3 linked regions of the Arabidopsis thaliana genome follow. The protein of the gene in region 2 interacts with the protein of the main gene of each other region in a pairwise test. Each region holds a gene or a part of one and is shown on either strand. Other genes may lie near its edges.

The links.
Region 1: the proteins of TBL36 (region 2) and ABCG2 interact in a protein complementation assay, tested with the Arabidopsis thaliana proteins (one large-scale study listed by BioGRID).
Region 3: the proteins of TBL36 (region 2) and AT5G64870 interact in a protein complementation assay, tested with the Arabidopsis thaliana proteins (one large-scale study listed by BioGRID).

The regions. Positions count from the first base shown.
Region 1 is NC_003071.7:15,672,448-15,677,941, forward strand, and holds ABCG2 (ABC-2 type transporter family protein), read right to left. Parts: upstream 3,474-5,494; 5' UTR 3,376-3,473; coding exon 1,108-3,375; 3' UTR 995-1,107; downstream 1-994.
Region 2 is NC_003074.8:20,083,784-20,088,819, forward strand, and holds TBL36 (TRICHOME BIREFRINGENCE-LIKE 36), read right to left. Parts: upstream 3,185-5,036; 5' UTR 2,963-3,184; coding exon 2,652-2,962; intron 2,466-2,651; coding exon 2,294-2,465; intron 2,209-2,293; coding exon 2,027-2,208; intron 1,870-2,026; coding exon 1,720-1,869; intron 1,639-1,719; coding exon 1,314-1,638; 3' UTR 1,188-1,313; downstream 1-1,187. Other genes in the region: AT3G54250 (GHMP kinase family protein), read right to left, coding at 1-85, 246-309, 393-591, 696-905; AT3G54270 (sucrose-6F-phosphate phosphohydrolase family protein), read right to left, coding at 3,636-3,725, 3,822-3,868, 4,032-4,218, 4,372-4,662, 4,745-4,939. UniProt on the Arabidopsis thaliana protein: May act as a bridging protein that binds pectin and other cell wall polysaccharides. Probably involved in maintaining esterification of pectins. May be involved in the specific O-acetylation of cell wall polymers.
Region 3 is NC_003076.8:25,928,438-25,933,085, forward strand, and holds AT5G64870 (SPFH/Band 7/PHB domain-containing membrane-associated protein family), read right to left. Parts: upstream 2,948-4,648; 5' UTR 2,872-2,947; coding exon 2,508-2,871; intron 2,415-2,507; coding exon 1,339-2,414; 3' UTR 995-1,338; downstream 1-994. Other genes in the region: DPE1 (disproportionating enzyme), read right to left, coding at 1-351; AT5G64880 (uncharacterized protein), read left to right, coding at 3,916-4,197. UniProt on the Arabidopsis thaliana protein: May act as a scaffolding protein within caveolar membranes, functionally participating in formation of caveolae or caveolae-like vesicles.

The DNA of each region.
Region 1 (5,494 bases), on a different chromosome or scaffold from region 2:
AAAGCCCCAAAGAAGACGCCATTTAGTTAATTCAGAGACAAGGAAGCGATAAATCGGAAAGACAGAAGCTAAGGAAACCATCACCGCAGATGCATCGAACCAATATAAAATCGTAATTCCGAGCAGTGAAAGCACTAAATTTCAATATGAATCATCGAATTGAGCAGAGTTTCGATACCTGGGGATTGAAGGAGAGCACTGCGAAACACGGAAGCCCTAATTTCGGAAGGAAAGGGGAAGAACAGCGTAAGGTAGCTAAAGTATGGTTTTCAAGTGTTTATAAATGGGCTTCAGACGCTGACAGAAAAAAACAAAAATGGGCTTCAGACAGAACCGACTAAATCCAACGGTAATAATTTGGTGTTGTGTCCTAAACCAACGGTAAATATCTTTAAAAAGAGATAAGAATCGATGTTGCCATATTCACCATTTTGCAATCTGTTGGGCCTTATATTAATAAGGCCCATTTAATTTGTGTAAATTGTAAAATAAGAATGGTGGTTTACAAATTGCAAGTTTTGTATGTCTCGGTATTCTTCTATGTTGCACACTCTGATCACATTTGCTTAAAGACTAATAGTAATGAGTTATCCAGACTAAACTATATATCTAGTTATGCAAATTCATTATAACAAATTGGATCCTCTAATCTTTAAAAACTTACAACATCTAAAAGTGATCAGATTTGTTATGACATCTATCTATTTATGCATAGTTTATGACATCTATCTTCTACCTTCTAGGATAAATTTTACCGTTTACCAATTCATGTTATAAACTATTCTTTGATGAACAAATCAAAGTCCGCCTATAATCCTATTTTGTTATTAAAGAAATACTAATAGCAATTAGCTTAGATTTTTATTTTCTGTTTTTTTTTTAACATTTAGCATTTTTTTTTCCTAAAGCACTTTCATTTTTTACAGAATAAAAAGAATGAAGATATATAAATATCACCGGTATTTTTCATTTCATAAATTATGACTTTATTATTCTTTAATTAATCGATTAAATATAGCAAGGACATACAATTATATAATTGAAAGAAAAAGGAAACAAAATTACAACAAACCTTTTTTCAAAAAAAAAAAAAGAACAACTGTTTAATCACTTCCGTTTGTTCTTGCTACCAATCAAGAGAGTGAAATAAAACAAAACCCTAAAGAAAAAACCCCAAGCAACAGTAATCCACAAACAATTCCATTTACTAATATCCGTAATCCCTTGCTGTTTCAAAATATCAATCCCCGTCGTCACACAAGTCTCCGCCGTCACATTCGTCCCCAATACACCGCTCATACTCTTCAACAGATTCACTTTCACATCGTTCGGAAACTCCCCCAACGGCGAATTGTCGAATAACTGAACTCCTCTGGCGAAACATCTCGTCGGATTTTGAAATTCGTTCTGCAACACTCCTTCGTAAGGGTATTTCACCAAGGAGATGTAATGGAACCAGAGCCAGTAAACAGGAATTCGATCTCGAGAGATGAAGAATCCGGAGAAGAGGAGGAAGTAAGCGAGGATCGCTACTACGACTGTGAATCCGAGCATTACGTTTGGTATAACGCCGGAGAGGAACGTTACGAAGGAGCTTCCTGCCCAAAATGAGGCTAGGATTGTGAAGTAGAAGAAGAAGAAACCATTGGCGCCTCCGTCGAGACCAACGGCCCAGAATGTTGTGGCGGCGAAGCTTGCGGAGAGGACGATTAAGGCCGGGATTGAGATTATGGATTGAGAGAGGACGTAGGAGGATCTCCGGTAAGCGTTGTAAGCTGTTTCTCTCATGAATATGTAACGTTCTTGTAGAAAGACTGGGATTGCTTCTGCACATGTGTAGAATGTTGTTGACATTGCGAATGCGAAGAATCCTAAACGTTCTTGTGCTCCTTTTGGGGAATTGTCTAGGTTAGTGAACATTGTAGCTAGGATGATTCCGGTGACCATTACAGCTCCTAGTCTCATTCCGAGGAGTTCTGGTTGTCTTCTTGAGTTTAATATAGCACGTTTGCCTATTACTATCATTTCAATCCAGAAAGGATTGGCGAATGTTTGGAATGATGGTGTTAGGTTTGATGAGTTGTTGTTCGTTGCTCCAGAGACGAGTTTCCCTCTTGAGATACTCGCGGTTATCGCTTCTTTGAGAGAAGATACGTTGGTGTTTCTCTTGTTATTGTTGTTGTAGCTTGGTGCTTGCTTTGCTCGCCATTGCTTGTGGAACTCGACAAGTGGCTTGGTTCCTTCTGTAGAATATTCCAGCTCTCGGATGAGATCGAGAGCGAACTCTGTTTTGTTCTCGTTTTCAGGAATTGGGTGCTTGAATTCTGAGAAGAACTGAGGGAGATGTGTTGGTGAGCCGCTGTAGACTGTGTTTCCCTTAGAAAGGAAGATTAACTGATCTAGAAGACCCATGATTCTGTAACTAGGCTGATGGATTGACATGATAACTATGCTGCCACTTTGTGCGATTCTCTGAAGGACTTTGATAACCATGTAGGCGCTTGTAGAGTCGAGCCCTGAGGTTGGCTCATCTAGAAAGAGGATGATTGGGTCATGGATTATGTCGTTTCCAATTGATACCCGTCTCCTTTCTCCTCCAGACACTCCTCTGTGGCCTTCATCACCAATCACGGTTTTTGCAGCGCTCCTTAGGCCTAATTGGTCAATCAGAGCTTGAACCCTTGCTTTCTTCTTCTTCTTGGAGAGTGAACGAGGGAGCCTGAACTCTGCAGAGAACATTAGAGTTTCCTCCACGGTAAGCATCGGGAAGAGAAGGTCGTCTTGCATCACGTAAGCCGATATGACTTTCTGCATGCTTGATTCAAGAACTTCTCCGTTTAAGGTAATGGATCCCCTGAGGCTATCTTTTGCGATCCGGTTGGCTAATGCATCGATCAGTGTTGATTTACCGGACCCACTTGCTCCAAGAACCGCCATCATCTCCCCTTCGCGGGCTTCACCTGAAATACCATTCAATAGTATCTTAGTGTTCACCGAGGAATCATTTCCTGACCTTCTGCAGCAAGCGAGGGGATTAAACTTCTTCTGGATCTTCACGCTGTAGGTCAAGTCAGTGAATGAAAGAACAAACGGGGAAGAAGATATAGAAGAAGCAGGAGCAGAGGCCCATGAATTGAAAGAGGATGCAGCAGAATTGATAGGTGAGGCAATTCCCAGAGCCCGGCTACTTGCACTTTCATCATTCCTTGCATCCTCCACGTTCATAAGATGCTCGGCGAATGTGACAGAGACTCTAGTCGTGTCGCTTGGACGTCCTTGAGGCTCCACGGACATCGGGTTTACATAATACATAGGAAGATCATTGTTGCCATCAACCCGTTTGGCCGGAGATGATTTTCCGAGCAAGCCAGACATTTTCTATGTATTTTTGTCTTAATCTTCTCAGGTTATGTGGGTTATATAGCTCATACCCACAAAGAAGACACGAATAGGATATAGGAGGAATGAGAGAAGAGACTACTATAAAGTAAAGAGATATTTTTTTATTATAAGAATGAAAGAGATACGAAATGGTCAATATAGTAGGTAATCTCTAAGTATCTAACGATAGCTTCTGGGTTTTGTATGTTTTGATGTAATGTACAAACCTAAAAGTAAATGGGTAGGTGAGAGGAAGTTGTACAAAAACCCTTCTCGATTTTTCTTCCTCATTATGTTTATATCTATTTCTTGGGGCTTAAGGTAGTTTGAAAATTCGCTATTTTCTAGAGTTTTAAGTAACTATTTGGGTTTAGTTACACGGGTCTTAAGGGATTGAAATCATTATAGGCGTAATTAGTGTTGCGAATAACGTACGTGCAAAATTAGATTTGACTGTTACTGAGCAGCTAGCTGTCCAAATCGTGCCAAAGCGGCAAACTCGTACCTATCTTATTAAAACTAACGTTACAATATTGTCTTATTTTATTTTATTAGTGTAAAACTGTCGTTATCTTTTTTTGTTGACAAATGAAAACATTTCTTTTCGGAGGAATGAGGATGGTTGATATTTTTTATTGAGAGATACCACAAAATAACATGTTTTGGATACTTAAGTATCTAGCAAGATTGTTTGACCAAAAAAAAAAAAGTATCTAGCAAGATTTTTACAAAAAAAAAGTATATCTAGCAAGAGAAAAAGTCACATTATTCGGATGTAATTCAGTACTTGTCCTCCATAATCAATCGAACAAAAACAAATTGTTCAGAATCAGTCACATACTTGAGGTGGCAAAATATTTAATTAGCAAACGAGTAAGAAGTGGCAAAGTATTATAAAAGGAAAATATTTGAATTAAGCAACAAAAATACAAGTTAAATTTTGATTAAACCAAATATATATCTCTCAAGTATATTACTCACTCATTACTAACTGACTATATCTGAAAAGTTCATAAAATTTTACGTATGCCATTTCGATTTCGATTGAAAACATGAGAGCACAACTTAAATTACGAGAGATTATCAAGAAATAAGTAAGCTTATATGTGGAACATTATCACATAGGTATCCTGAGCAACATGGGCATATAGTAATCTAAATAGTAATTAGAAAGTCACTGGAACATAAATGTGGACACGACTTCAATAGTATGAGTGGGTTACACGAAAACCCAAAATTCTCATTAACGTGAAAAAATAGGCATATAATACCCAAAAGAAATGCATTATATAAGACTAACGTGGAGAAGTAGGCATATAAAACGTTTGGTATGGCTGTTATATCTGTTTTCCAGAACTTTATACTATACGCTTCAATATATAAGACCTAGATGATTCTATTTACCCATTCTTACAAGAGATCACATGATCCACATAAATCTGTATACGTAATACTATTTGTTTGTTTTATGACGCCTGTCCCTTTCAATTTTGTTTAATAGTTAAAATAAATGTTGAACAAATTCTTATATCTATATAAACAAATGTTATCAAAGAGAACCAGTTCTGGCAGCTAATTTGGTCGAACATGATTGAGGGCCTGTTCCTGTTTGCTAGAAAATATAATATAAACTTTCGAATATAACTAACGAAAAATATCCAAGAATATCTGTTTTTCGATGATCTCTTCATTGTCCCTTATTATCGAAATTAGTCGTAGTTAATCTTTGTTTGTAGTCATCAGTGATATAGATTTGATCAAATCATGATCGTTTTGAAATCGTTAGCAATAGTGACAAGTTATAGTGATAACAATATATTGCATCGATTGAATTATGCTATAGCAACTGCAAACCAGTTAACAAAGTATTTTGATGGTCGTTGTTGCTAGCGACCGCAAACAAACAAACAAAAACTATCATATAATTTTGCATATTACCTTTTGAGCATGCGAATATTACCTTTCAAAATCTAAAAACCTTTATGTATTGCTAGATTAGGATGTATATAAGTCAATGCCCAGAAGCTGAAATCACAATTACCGGAAAAAGCAAAACATGTAGCAAACACTTTATAACTTATTCACATAGAGCGCTTGCAAGAGACCATTCTAA
Region 2 (5,036 bases):
GCTGTCACTTCCATCTTCTTTGCTTCCCATTGTCCACTTGACAAATCCACCAAATAAACTCCGGCAAGCACTTCCTGAACCTTGCCTACATGAGCAAACAGAAATCAAACCATGAATATCAGTACCATTTAATTCCTAGAGGAGTGTCAGATTTCACTTCACTATCACAACTCATGCATTAGTAGATGACTATACATAAATCAAAGCATTGATATATAGTGCAAGGAAGTCCACTACATAGGTACCTGGCTATTGCAGAAAGATGGCTTGGATCTTCATCTACATTCATCAACTTTGCAAGAGAAAAAACTGTAGGCAAAAAAAACAGTTTGACATAAACTACAAGCCATTCTCAAGCTCATAATCATCAACAGAGAGAAAAAGCAGAATACCTAGACAAGCAAATCCAGCAGCTGAAGATGCTAAGCCAGCAGCAGTAGGGAAGTTATTATGAGAAGCAATATGTAGATTCAATTTCTCCCAATCTTTCTTCCTTATCTTGATCCCCTTTTCCATGTCTTCAACATCACCAGCACGACCTCGTATTTCCCTCAAACAATTTTGGTACCTACTTCCAGAAAGAGATATTTCCTACACTAACATGAAACAACAACAACAACAAAAATCTTTGTAATTCGATAATTGGAATCTCAGCAAAAGGAGAGAGATCGTGATGGGAAATGAAGCGAGTGTACCTTGCCATTGAGCCACATTCGATCCCGATCAAAAGCAGGACTAACGGCAACAGTGGTGACTGTGCAGAGATGATCAGGATCAAGAGTTACGCTAATGCTATCGTTAACGGGGAGAATCCGAACCTCATCTCTCTTTCCCCAATACTTAATCACCGCAATGTTCGTCGGAGTTTGCGCCGTCACCATGAACACCCATTTCTCCGTCGCCATGTGAATCTCCAAAAGAGATCTGCAGCTTCAAAGTAGTTGAAAATGAAAGCGACGGAGAATACGACAGAATAATGATGACTCATTGCCTTTACAATTTTAAAAATATTATTTTATTCAAAAATTGAGAACTTCACTAACTGTAAAACTCTAATCAAATGGTTATTGCCATTTTGATGAAAACACCAAAACTTAACCTAAAACGTTTTAGGAAAAAAATTGAGTTAGGTAAGAAATAACCAAAACACGAAAATCATTGTGATGCATGAACTTTATGCTTAAAGGCCTTTGAGTTGTCTTGTCTTTGATATTGGGATATTTGTTAGCTGGGAAAGGATATGTAATATATAAACCACTGATTCATATAAGTAACACCATTGTTCATGAGTAAAAACAGACTCTTATTATAGCTCATACAGCATTGGTTAAGATAATTGAAGAAAGCATCTCATTCCAAATATCCGGGACACCGGGCAAGCACCAATGACTGCAATCTGATGAAGGTCCAGCGATACGATGGTGCTTCTCTTCCTCGTGCATTGCTCTCTTGAACACCGAAGGATGACCGTCTCTTCTATACGCAGACATTGTTGTGATATCGTATAAATACACTCGGTATTTCATTGTCCTTAGCACTTTGTTCAACACTCTTGACTGTTGAGGCACGTGGGGTTTGGTGGAAGAAGATAAAGAAGGCAAGGGATGTTTCTGGTTGTAGCACATCTGACCACTCTCTCTGCCAAGAATTTATGTACATGAATTAATGGTGTCCATTTTGTATATATGTTGAGATTAAGAGGAGAATATAAGAAAAAACCTCGGTGAGACAGTGCGGAAAATGACTTTTGTTTTGGATGGATCAAGATTTATCTCAACCCATTTAGCCCATGTGGTTAGTCCTCTCTCATAAGCAACCATTGGGTCCATAGCTTTGAAGATCTTATTCCCATCCATGTAATAATCCCACCTAAAACATCAATAGCTTGCGTTACTGTCACAAATCCCAAATCTGATGTAAAATGAGACACAATAACAAATACAATGAACATAGACGTCTATGAACCGTTATACACTAATCATTTGCTTTTGAAGGAAAGATGTAAGTGTTTATTCAGATGACTTACGAACTCCATCTCTGAGAGTGAGTCCACCAGTGAGCGGAATCGAATACAAGAACATCTACACCACGCCAATATCTAGCATTGTCTTCGATTGAGTCCAAATGTAACACCCTTTTACGGTCAACTCCTCTCTTGAGTTCCACAAGCAGAGGAGCCCAACAAAACTCAATTGATGTCTCAAAATCCTGTATAGTAACCAAATTTAATAGTTGCATCTACTAACCAATGATGTATATGTGATTCAAAAGGAGATTTGTGATTATTAATTACCAGAGAATGGAAAGACATCGTAGGACCATTGTAAGTGAGCTTCTTACGATGAGTGGGAAGAACAGACTGTACTAAGCAGACAAGAGATTCCCACTGGTTTCTCATCATTGAATCTCCAACCAGCATTATTCTTTTTCCTCTCATTTTCCCAAGAAATTTCAATGCGTCAAACCTAAACACCATCATGGAAAGAGCCACTATTTTGGTTAATATTAATGTCTCTTTCCCATTTTTCATTAGTCAATTTATTCATCTTGCAATTAACCATGCAAAGCCAATATAAACCAACTTTTTTACTTGATGAGACAGAAATTTTAAAAAGAAGTAATGTAAGAAGTAAGAGGAGTGTGGAGTGTGCCTTGGTAGTGAACAAGCCTTAGGGATCCATCTCCATTTCTGGTAATAAGAGTCGGGTCTTCCATTTCTTTGGCAACTTAGTGCAGAACTCAGATATGGACAGCTTGAATCATAGAGCGGATACGTTTCATCGAACGTCCATTTCCCCACCGAGTAATCACACCTCTCCTCTCTTCTTTCACGCCTCGTCTGCAAGGCGTTGAGTGGATCATCGTCCCCTACTAGCCATAACTCATCAAACTGAGACAAAACTACTTTGCCAAGGATGAGACACAAAGATAAGAACAAGACTCGAGTCTCTGAGGTAGCCATTTGACCAGGAAACTGAGCAGTGTGGGCTTGGAGAAAGAAATAATATAAAGAAGATGGGCAACAAAAAGTGGATAAAGTGAAAAAGGGCGTTAATTACGGAAAGTGGTGGTAATTAGTAATTAGACTTATGCTTGAAATCATGTCCCGTGACTTGCGTCTCCTCTTCTCTCCATCATATCATTTTTTTATAAAAACAGATTACAGTATCCAAGGCGGGATTTGTGAGTTTGGTGGAGCGTTTTGTATATGGTTTAAAAAATCGAAATAGTTTCTCAACAAAAACAAACAGAAATAGTAGAAAACAATCCATATAAACCAGAAAAAAGAATTGCAAATCAAACACAATGGTAGGTTTTGTAAGACTAAAGAAATGTAGGTTTTGTTGTAGAGACCCAAAACTCTCCCTGCCCTCAAAAGGTCATGAACAGACCAAATTCAGGACCCAACCTTCCTTATTAATAGTTTTAAGTTAACCCAAATATGTAAAAAAGTATTAATGAAACGAAACCAAGACATGGCAACACCTTCTTCAGCTTTTAGTATCCTTCATGCTTTATCAAACTCACACCATCCCCAAACAAACATAACACAAAACAAACACTATGCTCTTTGGTTAGCTTCTGTCCCAAACAGATGTCATCTTTAGTATGTCAGTCGAGATTAAGATAATCCTTTAGAAAATCCATTTTTCTTGATCATCTGAAGAAGATTCATCTAACCATGATTGGTGGATGTGCATCCACGTCAGCCTTTGCTTTTCCTCCTTTCAATTTTAACCCATTTTCAGTTATTTTTTTCCAATATTATTTAACCAATCTAATCGTTTGAAATCTTAAAAGGATCATAAATCAAGGTTTACCTTATAACTCAGTAAGACTTTTGTTGAACAAGACCGTACTTTTCCCTCTGTAAACACGAGCTAGACATTAGAACATGGAAGCAAACTTCTACAGTATACCCTTATGATGAGAAATCAAACAAATCAGTTGATCGTATTTTCTGCTAAATCATTTCCTAGCTCGATAAGTCACAAGTATAAGCCATGTAATTGAAGAACAAGATTTCTTACCAGATAACTCATGCTTTACAAATTTTGCAAGCCATGTATCTGAACTGATATGAGAAGACGTAACATTATCCAACCAAATGCGAAACTTCTTTTCCTTCCCATCACCGTATAAATTTTCCATCTCATCTATCCATTCATGTATCGGTTTCTCCACTCCAGACGGATGAACAAAAATACCAAGTGGACTCTGAAACATTGCAAAAGCATAACAATTACGTCAACTAATAAGTCTACACAACACAAGCAATCAAGAACATCTTCAAAATTATCAATTTGAGCACTTGAATTTCCATTACGTTAGATGCTAGAGAGCTTTTTTTTGTCAAATAAACACACTTACAGAGAGCGATTTCAAATTCTGCAAGTACTTGTCAGACTTTTCCACCTCTCCACAACGCCATCTCTCATAAAACAAATAAAACTGAACAACCTCATGAGCAGGATTCAAACTTTCCCCATGGAAATTTTCAGTGTCCATAACATCTCTAGGAGAGACATTTGGTCCCAAATTAAACCTCTGAATAGCTTCTATCATACCAGCTCCACACCTCTCAGACGCATGAAATATTTTTGGGTTGTCCTTTGCATTTTCTTCATACCATTGCAATAATTCTTCATGCGAATTGCTAACCTTAAACAGTAAAAATATAAGCACAATCACTCACGCGTAGTCAAGTATGATCGAACCTAAAAAAAAGTAGTTGGGAACTAACCATTACGCCATATACGTCAGAAATGTTGAAAAGCTCAGCATCATTTCCAGAGTCACCACAAACAAGTGTGTTAGAAGGCTGCTTGCCTTCAATATCCAACTTGTCAAGTAGATATGTCAAAGCACCTTGTTTGCCAGCTCCTCTTGGTAATACATCAAAAGCATATCCATTACTATAAACCAGCTTCACATCCACCTATAATGAATTTTACTGTCATCAGCACCAAAAGTAACAATCTATGATAAGAATGTAGCCATCAAGCTCACATAAAGAGTACACACAAAAATCTCAC
Region 3 (4,648 bases), on a different chromosome or scaffold from region 2:
ACCAGTAGAATGAAGCCAATCGATGAACCGGAAGGCTTCTTCTCCGAGATCACCAATGCCATGAGGACCACGAAACGACGTCGGGTGTAGCAAAACGCCAGCTCTTCTCCTGCTCTCTGGATCCGGAACCGGTAGCCACTGCTCATATTCTGATGGAAAATCTTCACCGACGCTAATACTAGAAAGACACGTGGAATTACTCGAAACGACCTCCATTCGAAACGACTGCGACGGCTTTGTCCTGTTCCTGAGGACAGCTGCGTCGATTAAAGAATCCGGAGAGGATAATCGGAAAAGCTTGAGAGAAGAACAGAGTGAAGGAGAGGACGACGGCCTAAGTAGAATCGACATGGATAATGATCATCCAATTCAAAGCTCCACTCCACTCTAATCCACCAGATGACAAAATCAAAAACAGTCGAGATATTTTGTTGCTCTTGAGAGAGTGTGAGAGTGAGATCACGTGATCATCACGTGCGGTGTAAGGAAACTCTCGTGAATGGGCGCCATTTTCAAGGCCGTATTTTGGGCCTTTTTTAGGCCGTCGAGATCGGATCCTATATCCCTTAAAAGTTAAAAACCCATGAGATCCAGAATAATAAATTGGTTCAATGGACTATTAAATAATTATAAACTGTTTCAGCTATTTATTTTATGTTTTACTATAGTCAATATATTTTTATAAATATATAATTTAAATGCAGTGGTATCATCTACCATCCTCGCAGTTTCATCGACTGGTCAATATATTATTCAATAAACATGCAGCTTCCGTATATGATACTTTTCTGCTAAAAAGAGGAATTTGCAGTTCACAGAGAGGTGGTGAGGACCACTCTTAAAGATATTCCGATATGAGGAACAAATAATTGGAGCATGGTCCCTTGAGCCCTGCCTGATGCATTACAAAAAGTAGCATCATAATAAAGTGGTAGGTGTTGTTGAACTATTTATCCGATGGTGACAGAATTTATGTAGATATAATAATATCATTCCTTGATTATCCATCTGGAAGGTACATCCATCTCCACAATTGCATTCAACTATTGAAGCAATCATGTGTTGATAATCCCCTTCTGTTTATTTTAGTAGACCACCACTAAACATGTTATTTATATTAGTGTATCAAGAGAGAAGAAAGGTATCTTCAACACGCAATAATAAATCTGACATTTGAAAAAGGAAAAACACATCCTTATCGAAATCACTAGTCGAAGTCGCATTTGTCAGATACTATTGTTTTAACTTCAAACTCTAACTTCCAAGTTCTATAACATAAGAAAAAGAAAACAAACCCCAACAGCTAAAAGTATAATTAAAGAAGCAACATTTGAGATCTCAACCTCTGTGTTGTTGAGCATGAAGTGATTGTTTGGGCTCAGCACCACGCAATGTACCAATCCAAGCTGGTGGCTGCATCCCTGTCTGCTCATAAACCGTATCAAGAACCGGTGGTAACATCTTGTAGAGTCCAGCAATATCGTTCATCGTAGCTTTACCACCACCGTTCATCCCCTGCTCAGCACCACCATGGTTCCACACGCTGATCTTAGGCTGCAGGTCCCTGATCGCAACAGCATTGGTCTTGGCAATATCCTGATAAATGCCATTGTTGATCATCAAGAAGTCTCTCATGGCTGAGTAATCATTGTTAACTGCGCCTAAGAGGGTCTTGAGGTAAGTCCCCTGAGCATCGGCCATTGCGACAAGTCCCTCTGCATCTTTCTGTTTTGAATAGAAGGCAGCATCAGCTGCAGCTTTCGTCGCTTCCGCTTGCTTCTGCTTCTCGTAAAGAACAGCTTCTGCTTGCTTTTGCTTATTGTACAACTCCCAGTTCGCTTCTTGCACCTTAGTTTCATACTCAACACTGGCTTTACTGAGGAACTCAGCTTTAAGCTTCTCTGTCCGAGTCAATGCATTCATCTTCTCTACTTTAGTCTGAAGCTCAGCTTCCCTCAAAGCAACAGCCTTGGCTGCTTCAACCTCAGCCACACGAGAGTTTTGGGACAAAGCAGCCTTTTGAATCGCAAGTGCTGCATCAGCCTTAGCAACAAGAGCCTCTTTCTCATTCTGAAACACTTTGACTTCAGTCTTCACCTTGATCTCCTCTTTTGTCCCTTCTCCTAGCCTTTGAGTAGAGATGATCTTTGACTCAGCGTCAATCTTGGCTGCATTCTGGATTGTGAGTCCAGTCCTTTCTTTGGCACCAACCTCTCCCTTCATCTTTGCCTCTGCTACATCGATCTTGGCTTGGTTTGCTGCTTCCATCTGAGTCTTCTGGCCCAAGTAAGAGAAGTACTCATGTCCAGGCACATCAACAAGCTGCTTCACATTGGCGTTGTAGATCACAAGACCAAACTGGTTTAGCTCTAGCTGAACCTTGTCAAACACTTCCTTCTTAAACTCCTTTGTTCCTACAATTCCACAATTCAAACACAGTTCAAACAATTATATTAAAACAGAACTCAGAAATAAAGAAGATAATCAAAAAGGGTATGTTTGGTTACCTTTGAAGACCTCTTCCATAGTCATGGAAGCAACAAGAACACGAGTCTCTCCTTCGATAACACCCTGAACAAGCTCATTGACGTGATTCGAGTGCTTATCGTGTTGAGACATAAGCATGGCATACAACAAGAGAGCGTGAGGATCATCAACGCGAGGACCGATTGTGAAAACAGCAGGAATAACAAAGGGAAGTTTCTCGGAACTCATAGCTTGAACCTCGAACGTGTAGTTCACCGGAGAAACGTCGAAGACGGTGCAAGACTGCCATGGAAACACCCAAGACTTCTTTGCAAGCTTGATGTCTGTGATCCCACCACCGGTGATCGCAAGATACTGCGATGCTTTAGCGACTCTGTAACTCATTCTTTCTTCGTCTTCCTTGAAATTAGGGTTTTGTTGAGATTTAGGGATTTTTCTAGTACAAGTTTGTTTGTGGAGAGGATCATAAGAAAGGATTTAACTTATATACAAGTTTTTAATACGCGTAAATAAAAAATAAAAAAAAATAAAAAAAAAATATTCTCTTGAATTAAGCTTTTATATTCTTTTCTACTTTCTACGAAATTTCATTGAAACGCGGTTATTTACAAAATTCTATAACTGTTTTGGCTAAATTTGAATGTTAAAAGATAATATAATTGATAACAAAATTATGTGGAAATCTTGTATTTTGATACATATCTACATAATTTATTTTTTTATGTAATGATAAATACATGCATATTTTTTATAGTTTAGATGTTGTTTTTATGTTTATCTTTAACTTTATTTATTTGTAAGCTATAATATATGGTGGATACACGTGAAACATCCAAGAAATTTCGGGCATGTATATACAACATAGCATGTAAATTCAATATGGAAATTTAATGCTTCCGAAAAAATATTATAGCTATATTTTTAGGTTTTTTTTATTTTAACTACTGAATTTACCTAAAGAAAAAAAACTACTATATTTACACATTTATAGCTAATTTTATACGTTTGTCGTTGATTTAGAAATTTAAATACATCTGGATTTTTTTTTTTTTTTTTGTCTCTATCATAAACGAAGAATACATTAGCTAATTTAATGAATAAACAGTAATGACTAATTAAAATATAAATAATTTATAAAAAATCGAATTAAAATATTTAATAAACACTATAACAAATTACATAAATATCAAGTGTTTTCACCTATTTAACCAATTAATGTGTTACACGTGGACTATCAACAAAAAGCAAGATTTTTGCCGTTATTTTCTCGCGGTGACCTGAATATCACAGCTTCGTCGTTTTATCTTTTCCCCTTCACCCAACTCCTTCGTCGTCTTCGTTTGATTGTCGTCTTTCTTCTTCTTCCTCCTCCTCAATCGTTACCTCAAATCTCTCTTCCCGGGAAAAACTCTTATCTCTCTACAAAAAATGGTGGATTCTGGGAAAGAGTTTTTGGTTTTAGATAGCTACAATAATATCCCATGGCTAATTTGGATCCAAATGTTGGTCTTCGTCCTCCTCTTACTCCTTCTTTGCGTCATCGGAATATTCTCCTTTGATATCGTAGATAACAGCTACTCGTCTTCTGATTCTGTTCCTTCTACCTCTGGTTCATCTCTCTCTAAGCGATTTCTTTCTGGAAATCCGATTCCGATCAGTCACCATGGTTTGGGGTTTTCCGTCAATTCAAGTCTCGTACAGTCTCATCAGGTAACTCTAATACTATCTGTCTCTTTCAATTTCGTCGACGAATCATGGATTTAGTCGTACCTGCTCTACGTTGACTTACTGTTCCTAAACTGAGATCTCTTGTGGTTGGAATTGATTTTTGAATGCTGAATTAGATAATTAGTAGACTGAGACGATTTCAGCTAGATCGATGTTCGTTCAGTTTCTTCATTGTGGCTTCTGGGAACGGGAAACAAAAGTAATGGGGAATTTCCAGGGGTTTTGTGGAACTTAAGGGGTTTAGATTGCAATTAAGAATTAATGGGAGAAAGTGGCAGCCATAATTAGCTGGAAAGTAGCCACTTTTGATTGTTAGAGTTAGCTAAAAGTTGAAATGATGGGTTTTTTTCAATGTTCTGGGTTCTGAAATTAGGAAATAGTGAAAAGTTATCTAAACATAGCAAAAGTAATCATCCTAAGTATGGTTTCTGAA